2 linked regions of the Rhinolophus ferrumequinum genome follow. The protein of the gene in region 2 purifies or fractionates together with the protein of the main gene of each other region. This does not show direct contact. Links are inferred from orthologs where the notes say so. Each region holds a gene or a part of one and is shown on either strand. Other genes may lie near its edges.

Region 1 (7,867 bases), on a different chromosome or scaffold from region 2:
AAGCATGGGGACAGGTAACATTCTGAAGGTAGGGCAGCAAAAAGCCCCCCTTTTCTCCACGCCCCGGGAGATTCCAGGCCAGAAGGGGACTTACCTGACCCAAGTCATCGGAGAGAAAGCCTCTGCTTGCAGAGTCCTTGTGACTGCCCAGTCAGGACTTCAGACACTGGTGGTCTCGGAGCATTGGCCCTTTTCCAGAACCAGGACCAATCTCTCTTAAGCTTCTACCTCTTCTAAGTTTTGTTTCTTTTAGATGAGGAAGCCCAGAACCAACCCAGGGCTCCTTGGTCGTTAGGATAATTTATATTCTTTCCACCCTTATTTGGCCACCTGAAAGAGTCAACCAGCCTTCCCCAGGGACTCATCAAGAACAATAAATTGGGAGGGCAACCAGTGCCAGTCTGGAGGGGAGGCCTCCCTGACCCAAAGCTCAAGCAGAGACATGGGGGAGGGACAACTTCTGTCAGCTGCAGAAACGTACCTCTTATCACCAGCAGAAGGATTTATTTCAGGGTTCTGCCAGCAAAGTGACTTACGTTTGTGTAATGTAAGTCCCCATCTCCTCCTTTCCAGGGTGCTGTTTTGTTGCATGGGGTGAGGTGTGCTTCTGAGGTCATGGGGCTATGTGCCCCCCCCTTTACTTGCTGGAGTTCTTCCAGCACACAGCACTTCCTCCTCCCCCAGCTGAGTTGGAGTTGGGCAGAAAGGCTTATGAGGCCGTTATCTCTCAGCAGACAGCTGTGCAGGGCTGGAGGCAGCAGCTTATCAGGGAGCCTGCAGGGATTCACAGCCCAAGTCCCAGCTTCTCTGCTGAATAGTAATTTCCAGCAATGGATTTGTGCTCATCTCTCTCCGCCCCCTCTCCCAAGGGTGTGCTGTCCTTTCTTAGAGAGAGGAGCAGTGAAGAGGAGATCCTACCCATGGGATGAGGGGCTTTGTGCTGGTCTTCTAGACAAAGCTCAGTCTATTGGCAGGAGGCTGCAGGTTTAGGGACCCCAGTAGGTTCTGCCACTCTTGGCAATGACCTCCCGGGGGAGTTCATCCATGCTCTTCTTCCTTTCTCTCCTAGAAAAGCAATGTGCTGCTCCCTTTTCCTTACTGGTGATGCACAGGGGGAGACAGGCCTCCTTCCACCCACAAGCCCGAGGCCAGAGGCAGTCAGGGAAGGCTGGAGAGAGAGGGAGAAGCCAGGGACTGAACACTGTGCTTCTCACACCATTTTGAAACTGTCCAGTCTGTGCCTGACCCTGAAGACTCCAAAGGCTAAGAATCCCAGGCTGGAGGGGACTGAGACACAAGGGGGCAGGCCAGAGCTGTCTTTGCCCGGCAAGTGGTTAGGAAAAAACCTGGGACAGAGCCATTTTTGTGTTTGTTTTATTGGAAGCAAGACTCCAGCTGTGGGGCTCAAGGGAGGAGGCATGGAGAGTTCTGTCCTGGGTCTGTCCCTCTGGGCCAGCATGGGGAGGGGGGGATGTTACAAGAGCTAGAGCCAGGGGCGATGCCTGGCCACCATAATCTCAGGATGTTCCTTAAAAGCAGGGGAAGGAAAACTACAAAGGTAAATGTCTTGGGGTGAGGGGCAGAATGGGGCTCCCCACAACACAAACTCCCCTACCAGTTTCTCACCCCTTGCTCTCCGCTGGTGGGGGTAATTCCAAGAGCTCCCTTTGGCTTCCACACTCCTCCTCATGAATGCTGGGTGTCTCTAACCGTTCGGGGTCCTGAGTAAGGCTCAAGAGTCCCACTGCCCGGAATTCCCTCCCTGAAGAGGATCCCAGTATGGCTCAGAAAAGATGAAGGTTGCTTTCAGGCAACACAAGTGGAGGAGCAACCGCCCCACGAAGCTTCCTTGGGTCCCTCTCTTGTGGTGTGGGGTCCACGAAACCAGTCTGAGGAGTTGAGAGCAGGCTGTGAGCTCCGGCTGACCGAGGTGTGAACGGCTGGAGGTACGTCTCAAGGTGGAGGCGCTGGGGCTAAGATCCAGCCCGTCTGGTGGCCCAGGGCCGGGAGTGTTCAGGTCGTCTGATTCTCTTCCGCAGCACCTGGCTCGAGTTGTGACCGCTTCGCGGAGCCTTCTCCAGCAGCGGGTTCCCTTAAGCTCCTCTTGGGCGTTGGCGCGGTTGGCTGAGATGAAGAGTCAGGATGGGGGCTCGGGGGCTGGTAGCCAGGTTGATGCGGATCCAGTGCATCTTTGGAAAGTAGGATGGCGAGGCTGGGCACGTTCTTAAGTACACTGAGGCTGGCGGCCGGCTCACTGGGCTTCTGCTCCGGCGTGGGCCCTGGCGGGAGGCTCTGCCACACCTCGCGCACGCTCCGGTAGCGCAGCCGGGTGACTTGGTGCAGGCCAGCCAGGCGGCGCTTCAGGATCTCGGCGCACGTGACGGTCTTGGTGGTGGCCCGACCGCAGCCGCTGAATACGATGGCGCGAGTGGCTGGCTGCGCCATGCTGGCGGTGGCGAAGGCCAGCAGGTTCCGGATTTTGCTGCCCTCCTTGACCCTCATGTGTACAGCGCCGGGCGCCAGGTCCGCGAAGGGGCCGGAGCCCGGGCCGCCCCCCTCCGCCCCACCACCCCCCGGCGCCTCCTCCGAGCGCACCTTACGGAAGTTCTCCATGCGCCGTCGTTGCCCGGACCGCGGGGACGCGGGCTTCGCCATGGGGTCGCCTCAGCCTCGGAGCTGCATGGCCGCTGGTCGACTGGGTAAAGGCCGGCAGGGGTAAGGGTGCGGGAGCGGCTCGGACGCTGGCGGGCTGGCTGCGACGGCGCGATCGTTGCTTCCCACTTCTCTCCAGGGATCGCTGCTCTATTCTGCGCTCTCGGCGCCGGATGCTCCGCGCCTTTAGCGGAGGCCCGGCCTGGGAGCCTGGGAGCCCCGCCCCTACCTTCAGGCCCCGCCCCTAACTCGGTCCTCTCGCCTCCGCCCCAGCCTCACCCGCCTCTAGGAATCCGGTCAGATCCTCTGCTATAGGGGCGTAGGAGCAGCGCGCATCCTGGTGCGCAACGGCAGCGCCAGAGGGTGACTTGGTAGGCGAAGTTCCCCTATAATCGTCATCAGCCCTCCCCGAGCCAACCCTTATAAACGGGCAAGCTAAATAAAAACTGTGTTTGCGTTGCAAACGCCGCTTCAAGCAGGGTCCCCAAGCCCTTCCGCGTGCGTTCCAATTGAAGACAGCCTCTTCTCCCCTCCCACGGAGAGACTTACAAGCGGCCTGCAGGGCCTCTTTCCCCCACTCCTTTGGGGACCCCCCCAACTCTGTCGCTTCCGCTCCTGAGCCAGTATTCTTGGCTCAAGGACAGCCTGTGCACGGTCAGCAAGTGCGGAAGGCGCTGTCTCCGGCCCTACTCCGTGCCTGCCCTCGGATGACTACGTCGCGGCGTGGTCCTCACGGGGCAGCCGGAGGCTGAGGTCTCAGCCTAGCCGCGCCTGACTGCTTTGGAGGTTACCGGACACCGGGACACCCCTGGGGAGTAGGCAGTGAGGCTCTTGGCCAAACTGTTCCCTGGGATGAATGGGAAGAGAACAAGGAGATCCCTTTTCAAGGGGGGTTAAGCTCCTTCCACCCCTGCCTGAAAGTCTACTATTAGAGCTGCAGGCCTTAGGATAAGCCAGGCATGTTTCCCTGCTGACGTGAATCCCCCTTCTTCCCAAGTGGTTCGCTGTCAGTCAGCTTTGGCCCCGAGACCTCTGGGGTCCTTTTCCAAAAAGGAGACTGGGCGAAGACAGATTTTAAAAGAGAAAAGGGAGGAAGATGGGAAGTTGAAGCTTTGGTGGCATTATGAAGCTATTGGGTGCCCCTCTCCGGGAACTCCGCTGGACCGAGAGAGAGTGGCCCCAGGTCTCCTGCCAGGAGAGATGAACAGTGAAGCCAAGAGGCGAGGACTGCTGAAGGCAGGCAGGGGTTTGCAGGAGCGGGACCCTTCCTAGAACGGCCCCAGCGCCTTTATCCTTCCACCCATCTCACGCACCTCACAGTCAGAACTGAGAGAGTGGGGCAGACTTGATCCGGGTGGGGTGCCTAAGACGGAACGTGGCGGAGTGGCGCACGAAGAGCTAGTGGAGGGCAACCCTGAAAGTGTTGGGGGCACGACAATGTCTGGGGAAGCTGGGCCCCAGTCTTAAGATGGAGCTGCCGGAGTCCTCCTCTCCCTTTTCAAGGCTGCTATCGCCTCCTCGGCATCCTGTAACTCCTAGCTCTCGGCCTTTGCTGTTCAGAAATCCGGGCTAACCCCATTACCGCTCTTTGGGAGTGGCTGGAGCAGGTGGACCTTTGCGTCCCAACGTTTGAGTGACGGACCTCCCCCGATCCCCTGGTCGCTCGCTGGGATGAGGGGCCCTCCGGTCGCGTTCTGCTCTGAATCTGGACTTGGGCCCCGCGTGAGCTCCCGCGGGCCCCACGAGGAACAGCCATAGAAGCCGGAGGCACAGCAGCCTTGAGAAGACACAAAGACTGCAGCGCTTGAGGGGGGGGGCGCAGGGGACCCCACACTCTGTAAGGCCAGGGAAGTTGTGGGACTTAAAAGGCGGCAGTTTGGCTAGGCCTGAGAAAGTCCCTGAACAGCCGGAAGCTATCTTGTTTCCCGGAAAATAAGACCTAGCCGGACCATCACCTCTAATGTGTCTTTTGGAGCAAAAATTAATATAAGACCAGGTCTTATTTTACTATAAGACCGGTATAATATAATATAATATAATACCCAACCGTATTTTGCTATAAGACCCGGTATAATACAATATAACATAGTATCATATAACATAATATAATATACCGGGTCTTATATTAATTTTTGCTCCAAAAGACGCATTAGAGTTGATTGTCAGGCTAGCTCTTATTTTCCGGGAAACACAGAACCTTGGATCGGGTTGTTTAGGGAAAAAGCAAGCTCTTCATCCGCGGGGTATATAAACCAAGGCAGAACGTTCCCTTGGGTGTGTGGAGGGGCATGAAGGCAGGAGTCTGCAGTTTGGAAGAAAGGGCCTGTGAGCTCTGGTTTTGCAAAGGGTGAGGATGCGGCGCCGCCTGGTCTGGCCCGGGAAGGCGGGGCTCCCCTCACCCTCCTCCCGCCCCGCGCCTGCCGTCAGCTGTACAGGACTTGGATTCACTTCGCTCCGGGGTCCTTGAAGGGAGAGCGCCGAAAAGGCCCGCACTCCCTCCTCCCTGTCCCCTCCCCTTCCTCGCTCCCTCTGCAGCACTTAAAATGTAAATGTACACCATGATTAGCCGCTGGGTCTCTAATTACCGCTGAAGCCATTCATTACCCTGTCAGCGCGCGTCGTAGCCCGCCGGCTGTGCGCTCCAGCGGGGCCGCCGAGTGGCAGGGCTGGGAAGAGGGGGTCGGAGGGATCCGAGAAGCGTGGGGGCGACGCTGCGTAAGTAAGAGTAGTGAGGTCCGCCGAGAGGAAGCGGGGGCTGCAGAGGGGCCACGCCGGGCAGGAAACGGGGTTGGCGCGGAAGCGCAGGGCCAGGGCAAGGAAAGGAGAAATGCGGAGGGAGCAGCCTGGAATGGGGGCGTTATAGACGTAGCAAAGATGTGAGGGAGGAAACGGCGATGAGGAGCGGGAGGAAGGGAGAGTACGCGGGGAGGAACCCGGGGGAAGGGGCGGTCGCGGTCCGGAGGGGAGTGGAGGCTCAGCTCTGGGAAGGTTGGTTGATAAATTGGAGCTTCTTTGGCCGACACTCCTCGACGGTTAGAACCGTGGAGAGTCAAGACTTTCTGTTAAAAGAGTCGGGTGCTAGCTGTACACACTGTGGGACCACAGGTATTTTTAAAGGGGGAGATATTTCCGTGTGTGTGTGTGTGTGTGTGTATGTGCGTAGATGTAAATGTATTTTTTAAATATCTGCAAGAAGACGGCATACGACATCTGTTACCTCTAAGGCCGCTTCCAGTTTTTGTGGGCCTCTTTAAGAAAAGAACTGCTAAATTACTAACTATGAATACAAAATTCAGCCCAGAGCCTTGGGACTGCCCGTGTCAGTGAGGTACTCACCTTGAAGCCTGAGCTTCATTAGCTTCTTTTGCCTCTGTGACCTTGAGCGTTTACTTTACCTCTATTCCTTAGTTTTCTAAGCTGTAAAATGGTGCTAACATAGGAACCTGCCTCATAAAGTGATTGTGAGACACCTAACAGTCTTAGAACATTAGCTAGTAAGTTCTCAGAAAATGCTGGCTAATAGTTTTCATATATTATGTGTGTTTAAGATAAATTTAAAAAATTTAAAAAGGGGGATGAAGGGGAAAGAAAGCTGGTGAAAAGGAAAGGAAATGAGCAAATTGGAAATTGGAAAGGAAATTAGAAATTGCAGTTTTCCCAATATGTTAGGGACTAAGGAGTGGCAAATCAGACTCCTTTCACCCTAAGGGGAGGTGGTGACAGGCCTGGCTACTGGGGCACCAGCCCCTGCTCTGCATTGGCCAGGCTTATGCACCTTTCCAATAGTACATCTTGCTTCTCATGGACAAGTCTCTTCTCACCCCAAGACTGGGAGAAAAATCCGTGGCACAAGATAGGTCTCCTTCTCCTCTGTCTCCAATGGCGGGAAGAGGACTCTTCCTATAGACAGACCCAGGGAAAAGACCTGAGGCTGAAAATATGCTTCTGTAAGTGGAGGGCAGGGAAAAGACCGAAGAAAGAGTCACAGCACTCCAGTTGGTAATTAATGGTGTTTATTAAGGGAAACTTAGACACGAGGCATGTCTTGGGCGGCTGCAAGAGAATTGGATTCTCCAGCAGCTTGGCAGGCACCAAAGAATTACACAGGGTAAAGGAGGGGGTAATCACAGTACTAGTATGTGAACGCCACTCGGTATGGAAATTGCTTAACATGCTTGACCGAGTCAGGACAACAACCTGTTCCATCAACCGTCACAGAGCAGGAGGCAGGAGAGGGGTGCTGATTTGTGTCAGAATGAACATTAATTACGATACGACAATCTCTAAGGCAGCTTTGCAGAAAGCAACCTCTATTGTGGCCTGGTTCCAGTTTGCTGGACAGAAAGCAGTCACATCCACATCAGGAGCATGAGGACCTCCCAAGGCCTCTGGTCCTAGTCCCAGCCCGGCCCATGAATGGGGGGGGGAGCATGCAAATGAGTCAGGAACTGGGTGCTCAGGTTTATCAGGCCCCCACCAAGGGCCCAGCATTGGGCCAGGTACTCTCACAGTTCTATTCCCTGATTAATCTTCACAATCTTCCTTTCCATCATTGTTTAACAAATGTGGAAACAGAAGCACAGAGAGGGTAAGTAACTTGCAACCACAGATATCTGAATGCAGGTGCTCTGACTCATTTTACTACCTCACCTGATTTGAGCTGCCCAGTAAAAGGAAGAGAGGGGGTTCCTAGAGTGAGAAAGATGTATGGGTTATTTACTGCTGCATAAAAAAAATGACCCCCAAAGGCAGCAGCTTAAAACAAAAACATTCATTATCATATATAGTTCCTGAGGGCTAGAAATCCAAGAGCAGCTCACAGGTGGTTCTAGGTCAGCGCCTCTGGTGAGGGTACTGTGAGGGAGTCGGCTAGTTTTGGGGGATTCACTCCCAAGCTCACTCACATGTTGGTCAGAGGCCTTCCTTACCACATGGGTCTCTCTGTAGATCCGCTCCTGACATAATAGCTGGCTTCCCCCAGAGCAAGACAGTGGGGGTGGGGGAGATAGAGATGGAGATGGAGAGAGAGAGAGAGAGAGAGAGAGAGAGATGCCAGGTACCTCTTCTCTTAGACTGAATCCTGGCCTCCAGAGTCTGTTCTAGACCTCCTGGCACTAGACCTCCTGTAGCAGGAAAGGGAAACAGGGCAGAAAGCCATCAGACAGACACAGTCCTCCCCAGCGACCCATACTGAAGGTCCAGGCACTCCAGGGTA
Region 2 (6,884 bases):
GAACTGATTAGCTAATTAGTGACAACACCCCATCCACCCCAATGCCAGGGACTGAAAGTTCAACACATTTGAATTTTTCCTGGAAAAGACCCAGAATTTTCAAAAAGTGCACTCACTACCAACTCCATGCATAAAATCTCATTTTCCAAATGGTTGTTAAAACACGTCCAATTAACTTTATCAGGACATAACTAGTTAGGTGGAGTATGTTTTTTTCTTCATAAAATATTGAAAATTAGCACCATTTCTAGTATCATTTTTGGATACAAAAAAGCACAAGAGGCACAATATCCTGGAAAGTCTCCACACAATGAAGCTGGTTGATGGCTTTCCTCTTGTCATACGGGCATATTCATGGAATGATTCCCTTCTCTTTTGCTTGCAGCTTTATAAAGATAGTTGACTCCCAGGTCAGTCAACCAGGGGTACTACTATCCTGCTTTCTTTCTTGAACAAAGTATATACTTGAGGAAGATATATGCTCCAGGCTCTGTGATCACTTTGCTTTGTTAAGGATCACTTTTATTCTGAGGTAAAAATAATGGGTGATTGAGGGATAAGCATTAGGGCATAAGGAGGAAGAAGATTACTGATTTTTTCTTTTACTGTAATATCCCTTATCTATTCTTAATATCTTCTCCTCAAATTACTATCAGAATTCTCTTCTTAAAAGAGATCAGATCATGTCACTTCCTCTTCAAAAACATTTGATGGCTCCTCAGTGCATTCACAATAAAGTTTATACTCTTCAGTTTAGCGTTGGAAACCATCACAATTCAGACCTTGTAACAGCTAATGTTTAGCAAGAGACAAAACAAAAATTCAAATTCAAAGTCTAACTCCTAACAAGTGTTTGCCAAAGCGTAGGTCACACACAAATACAGAATATCAGTAAGGAAATGATTTCCTTTCCATTCTCTTTCTTCATCTGAAAAATGGGGACTGTAATACTAGTAACTGTGTACATAAAGCACTGAGAACAGTGCCTACTGCTGAGTAAGCCTCAATAAAGGTTAGCAATTAAGAGTTCAATCCGCTAATTACATGGAGAAAACAAGTTAAAGAAACCTATCATTTTTAAAAAAAGAGAAAGGCCTTGGGTTTTGAGCCAACTGCAGTATCTAGCTAGAATTTAATAACATTTTTTATTCTATTGAGTTTATTTTTTACTGTTACTGCCTATTGGGTTTTCTATTTAGAGTACTGTCGTAAAGTTTGCTTTTTAAATTTGTAAAAGTGAGCCATCACAAAATAAAGTGTAAAGTAAATTATAATATAGGTGGTACACAGATTTGGCAAATGAAAAAAAGAGTTTAAAAAGAAAAGAAAAAAAGAGGAAAAGTGGTACTTGGATGACTAAATGTTACTCCAGAAAATCTTTATGCCATGTTTTCTTCTAGCTCTATACCTCAAGTCATTCACTCTAATTAGAATGCCCTTCACTCCACAACTTCCTGTTGAAGTCCTGAACAAAGTACAGTTCAACCCTGAACAATGTGAGGGTTAGGGGAGCCCACCCCCTCCCAACTGCTGAGAATCCAACTTTTGACTCCCCCAAAACATAACTACAAATAGCCTACCCTTGACTGGAAGCCTTACCAACAGCATAAATGGTTAACACATTTTGTACATAATATGTATTATATACTGCATTCTTACAATCAGGTAAGCTAGTGAAAAAAATGTTATCAATAAAATCATAAGAAAAATACATTTACAGTATTTATTGAAAAAAAGCCACGTATAAGTGGACCTGTGCAGTTCAACCCATGTTGTTCAAGGGTCAACTGTAATTTAAAAATCAAACTTTACAATAGTACTGTAAATGCAAATCCAACCTTCAAAACCCACCTCAAAGACTACCTCTCACTAGGAACCTTCCTAAATCTTCTGTCCCTCTGCCCAAGGTTAGCATCAAATTCTTTCTTTTCCTCTTTTGTCACCGCTCACCCAACCTCCATGTCCCCTCAGTCCCACTGCACTTTATTTCTAACCCTACTATAATAATTACTCATCTGCCACACGTAAGTGTAGGGCTTGTTCAAATTAAGCTCTGTCACTTGCAGACTGTTTGACCTTGGACAAGTTCACTTTGAGCTTCAGTTTTCTTTTTGTAAAGTGGGGATGGGACTTAAGAGAAGTTGGTCTGTTATGGTGCTTGCTATGCAACATGCACTAAATTAAAATGTTTGTTTTTCGTTTCCCGATATGTGTGACTGTCTTTCATACTGGATTGATTCTTACACATTTTTATATCTCCTGCAGTGTTTGGCAAATAGTAGGTACTCAATACATGTTTGTCATAGTTCAAGTGTTCCAGTTGCAGAAATTTTCCAGCTGTAGTTAACAGTGAACATACTACAGACTATTTTAAAAAGGAAAATGGAAAAAAGTTACAGGATATACTTTAGTGAAGAATTAAAAATAACAAAAGTAATATTAGGAAAAAAAGTCTCCAAGAATGCATATAAGGTCCAATAATTTTAAAGCTGAGACATTTTTAAGAAAACAAAATCTAAAAAAAAAAAAAGGAATTAAACTTTCAATTTAACAGTGCTTCTGTACACAAGATAGACTTCTGGCCAGTATACCTATTTTAACTAGAGCATGTCGGGCAATCTTAGAAAATGATCTTTCTTATGATTTGTATTTTATTTTAGTAGTGTGAAATAAACATGGGCAAAGAATTCATAAATATCACAATGCATTTATATATGTGCTGTAAAATCCAGGGTCGTGGGTAGATGTGCAAGGTTTTGCTAAGCATTTCTGTGAAAAGAACTCACCTCTCCCGAGGGCACCCACATCTGTGGATAGGATTTACTCCTTTGAATTAAGACAGAATTAGACCAAACATTATGCCAAGTGAAAGAGAAGTCAAGTCACAAAGGACCACATATTGTAGGATCCATTTACTATACATTTAGAACAGGCAAATCCATAGATACCAACAGTAGATTAGTGGTTGCCAGGGGCTGGAGGAAGAGAGTGACTGCTAATGGGTATAGGGTTTCTTTTTTGGGGTGATACAAATTCTGAGATTACATACAGTGTTTCCCCGAAAATAAGACCTAGCCGGAAAATCACCTCGAATGAGTCTTTTGGAGCAAAAATTAATATAAGACCAAGTCTTATATTAATTTTTGCTCCAAAAGACACGTTAGAGCTGATTGTTCGGCTAGGTCTTATTTTTGGGGAAACACGGTAGTGGTGATGGCTGCACTACTCTGTGAGTATAGTAAAAAAGTCACTGGATTGTACACTTTAAAGGGCTGAATTTTATAGGTATGTGAATTATATCTCAATAAAGCTGTTACAAAATAAATAAATAAAAAACAGACCACGTCTAACCCCAGAAACTTTCTGGCTGACTGCGCTCCCCCGTGAGGCAGTCCACCCGGGTCGGGGCAAAGTCTCCGGGAGCGCAGGCTTTGTGTCTTAGTGGGGTTCCTAACCCACTGTGGGTCCATGGGTGCGTTGCCCCGTTTCCCGAGTTAGGTTTCCTCAAGTGTTAGATTAGGTTGGCCCAGGCCCACCCCAGCTATGATCCGGGTGGTCACTGCCGAACAGCTCACCCCACACCCGACACGCCTGGGGTCCGACCGCGCTCCCACAAGCCTAGTTACCTGTAGGGACCAATGGCCCCTGGGGCTTTCGTGGTGCTGATCACCTTTCTGATCAAGGATGACATAGCTAATCTTTTTCCTTTGAGGCCTCTTGGAGAGAACTATCCGGTACACTACCCCAGCTCGCGACTACTGGACTATCCAGAGTCCAGCAGTGCCACCAGAAACAAGACGCCGGGGCGCGTTCGCTCAGCGTTCTGGGAGTTGTAGTTTCCTTGCGGCTCTCGGCCACGTGGAGACAGCGGTCGCACTGGCGCATGCTCCCTCCAGCTCTCTCACCGTTCACGTCGTTTTGGAGACTGTGGCGGAGCCTTGTCATTCTGACCGGGAAGCCCTGGCTTCCTCCGTCGGTTCGTCAAGCAGGTAGGTCATGAGGGGATGGTGTCTGTTAGGGTCCGCGACTTTGGGGGAGTGAGTGAGTGTGTGTGTGTGTGTGTGTGTGTGTGCACGCACGCACCCTGCCCGGCGTCCGCGTACTGTCCCCCACGTCCCCACCCCCTATATCTTCTCTTCCCTCAGACCCCACTGGCTTCTTCTTCCCTTGCTGTCTGCTCCTGGGCCCCTCTTGCCGATCCCACACCTCCCTCGGCCCCTATGCTCGAGCCCTCTAAGTTTATCATTTTGTTGCATTGCCCCACCGGGCGGAGGCCGTTCTGGGAATGGGCTTTTACCTTCTCTCCTTAAACCGTAGAGGAACGAGATGGATCATTCAGGGGACCACGCTGGGATTTAGTCCTTTTCCACCTTCCCGCCCCTCCCATGTTCCCTTTTTTTGAGTACTCCTGGAGCTTTACGAGGTCTCCATGCGTTCCGCTTTGATCTGAGCAGAGCCCTAGTGTGTGGGATCTGATTTCAAAAAGGAAGATAGTGATCTTGATCCAGCAAAGGGCCCCAGGGTTGGTCACTTGGCAGCTATGCAATCGTCATGCTGTGTCAGAAGAGTGATACTTGGCTATTTTTTATTTTGTTAATTAGTACTTTGCAGGTACGCTTCACTCCCTCATTTATGCGCACATATGTACATTCAACAAATATACATTGAGCCCCTTCTTTGTGCAAGGCACTTCGCTAGGTGTTGGAGAAACAGGAGTAAAAAAGTTAGGTAGGATCCCTGTCCTGCCCTGCTTTTAAAACATAATATAAGAAAATCCTGTTTATTCTCCTCATTTTGCCCCACATACTGCTAAGGTTTTGGCTTTCCTACTTCTGCTCAAGAACTTTCGTGTTTTTTCATTATTTCATAATGTCATCTAATACAATTTTGGTGAAATATTTGCATACAAGAAATGCATATCATTTATTAAAATTACTTTTTAGTTCTTTTTTTTTAATGATTTTTTTTTATTGGGGAAGGGGAACAGGACTTTATTGGGGAACAGCGTGTACTTCCAGCACTTTTTTCCAAGTCAAGTTGTCCTTTCAATCTTAGTTGTGGAGGGTGCCATTCAGCTTCAAGTTGTTGTCCTTTCAGTCTTAGTTGTGGAGGGCACAGCTCAGCTCCAGGTCCAGTTGCCGTTGCTAGTTGCAGGGGGCACAGCCCATCATCCCTTGCGGGAGTTGAATCCAGCAACCTTGTGGTTGAGAGGATGGCACTCCAACCAACTGAGCCATCCAGGAGCTCAGTGGCAGTTCAGCTCAAGATTCCGTGTTCAATCTTAGTTGCAGGGGGCACAGCCCACCATCCCTTGCAGGACTCGAGGAATTGAACCGGCAACCTTGTGGTTGAGAGCCCACTGGCCCATGTGGGAATGGAACCGGCAGGCTTCGGAGTTAGGTGCATGGAGCTCTAACCGCCTGAGCCCCCGGCCGGCCCCGGCCCCCACTTTTTAGTTCTTTAGATTACAATTAGGGCCCATATTGTAGAGCATGCATTGATAAAATTTATACATGTCTGGTAGGTTATGTTATTAGTGAATTTCATTTAAAAATAGAAAACGGGTCTTTGAAACTATGCAGAAAAAAAGGGGGATGTTGAAAATTGAGAATTACTGAGTAAATCCATCAGGCTTTTCCAGATTATTGTCCTTTATCCTTCCTTCAAATTGAAATATTTTTGCTGTTATAAATTAAAGGTGCAGCTGGCCTCATCTCAGTAGTAGAAATGAAAACATCAATAATTTATGTTCAGTTTTCGTAAAGGTTATCATATCAGAATAGTGTGTTCTATATTTTAGTGATTCAGGTGGCTCATGTTTTACCCAAGAATTTTGATTAAATGCTTTAGTTAATTTAATTTTTTATCATGGCATAGGGATCTTATCTCATACCTCATTTTTCATTCAAAAGACTTTATGCAGTTGCCAACATTGGTATATGATTTAATTATTTGGCAGCGTAACTGGAATGTACCAGTATAGTCTCTTGCATCAATAGCATTATTTCTTCTATTGAATCAGATTTTTGATGTTAATACCATTCATGGCTCCTCTAGAGATCCCCCTGGTTATTAATCCCTGCTATATATCAATATCATGATAACATTTTGATATCACCAATCCACCTGAAATAAATAAAGATTTATTATATTGAAGAATTAAATATTGAATCACATGAATATTTATTAAATTTATTTTTGAATGGAAGTTTCCTTTCCCTGTACTAAATTTGTTAACTTTCTTCCCAGAAATGTCTAATGCAAAAGAAAGAAAACATGCTAAGAAAATGAGAAACCAGCCCACTAATGTGACTTTATCCTCTGGCTTTGTGGCTGATAGAAGTGTAAAGCACCATAATGGAGGTGGAAAACCTTTCCGAGCTCAAAAACAAGGTAAGATACACCTAATGCTCTCTCCACTCCCATTTGGAGCAAATTTCTTTCCTCAGCACCTTTTGATAGTTATTATCTAAATAGTAAATGAGCTGAGTTAAAAACAGATACAGTTGACCTTCATTATTTGGAAATTTTGTATTTGCAAATTCACCTAGTTGTAAAAGTTTATTTGTAACCCCAAAATTAATACTCATGGCACTTTGGTGGTCACTAGCAAAGTGGAGAAAAAATTCAAGTCACCCACATGGACGTTCCCAGCTGCCTTCTTGTTTCAACTTGCATACGGAGATGACCAGAGGATGGAGACAGTGGGTGGGCAGTGCAGTATAGTGCAAGAAGCTCCAGCTCTTAGTGGGGTTTGAATTCCAACTGTGGGGTGACCTCAGGCAGGTCACTTAACACTTCTGAATGTGATTTTCTCTTTTGTAAAATAAAGAAAATAGAACCTACCAGGATAAGTTGTTTTTACCATTTAAGATTATAACCTA

What was found. Proteins that work in one complex are often made in the same cells at the same time.
Region 1: the proteins of POP1 (region 2) and RPP25 purify together in Homo sapiens (affinity purification with mass spectrometry; 3 studies listed by BioGRID and IntAct, counting the BioPlex papers as one, with this or other methods). This does not show direct contact. The link is inferred for Rhinolophus ferrumequinum from reciprocal best matches to the Homo sapiens genes POP1 and RPP25.

Annotation. Positions count from the first base shown.
Region 1 is NC_046289.1:99,496,826-99,504,692, forward strand, and holds the start of RPP25 (ribonuclease P protein subunit p25), read right to left. Parts: upstream 2,866-7,867; 5' UTR 2,656-2,865; coding exon 2,014-2,655; 3' UTR 1,627-2,013; intron 1-1,626. UniProt on the Homo sapiens protein: Component of ribonuclease P, a ribonucleoprotein complex that generates mature tRNA molecules by cleaving their 5'-ends. Also a component of the MRP ribonuclease complex, which cleaves pre-rRNA sequences.
Region 2 is NC_046297.1:40,023,170-40,030,053, forward strand, and holds the start of POP1 (ribonucleases P/MRP protein subunit POP1), read left to right. Parts: upstream 1-3,872; 5' UTR 3,873-3,883; coding exon 3,884-3,989; intron 3,990-6,249; coding exon 6,250-6,393; intron 6,394-6,884. Other genes in the region: RIDA (2-iminobutanoate/2-iminopropanoate deaminase), read right to left, coding at 3,627-3,691. UniProt on the Homo sapiens protein: Component of ribonuclease P, a ribonucleoprotein complex that generates mature tRNA molecules by cleaving their 5'-ends. Also a component of the MRP ribonuclease complex, which cleaves pre-rRNA sequences.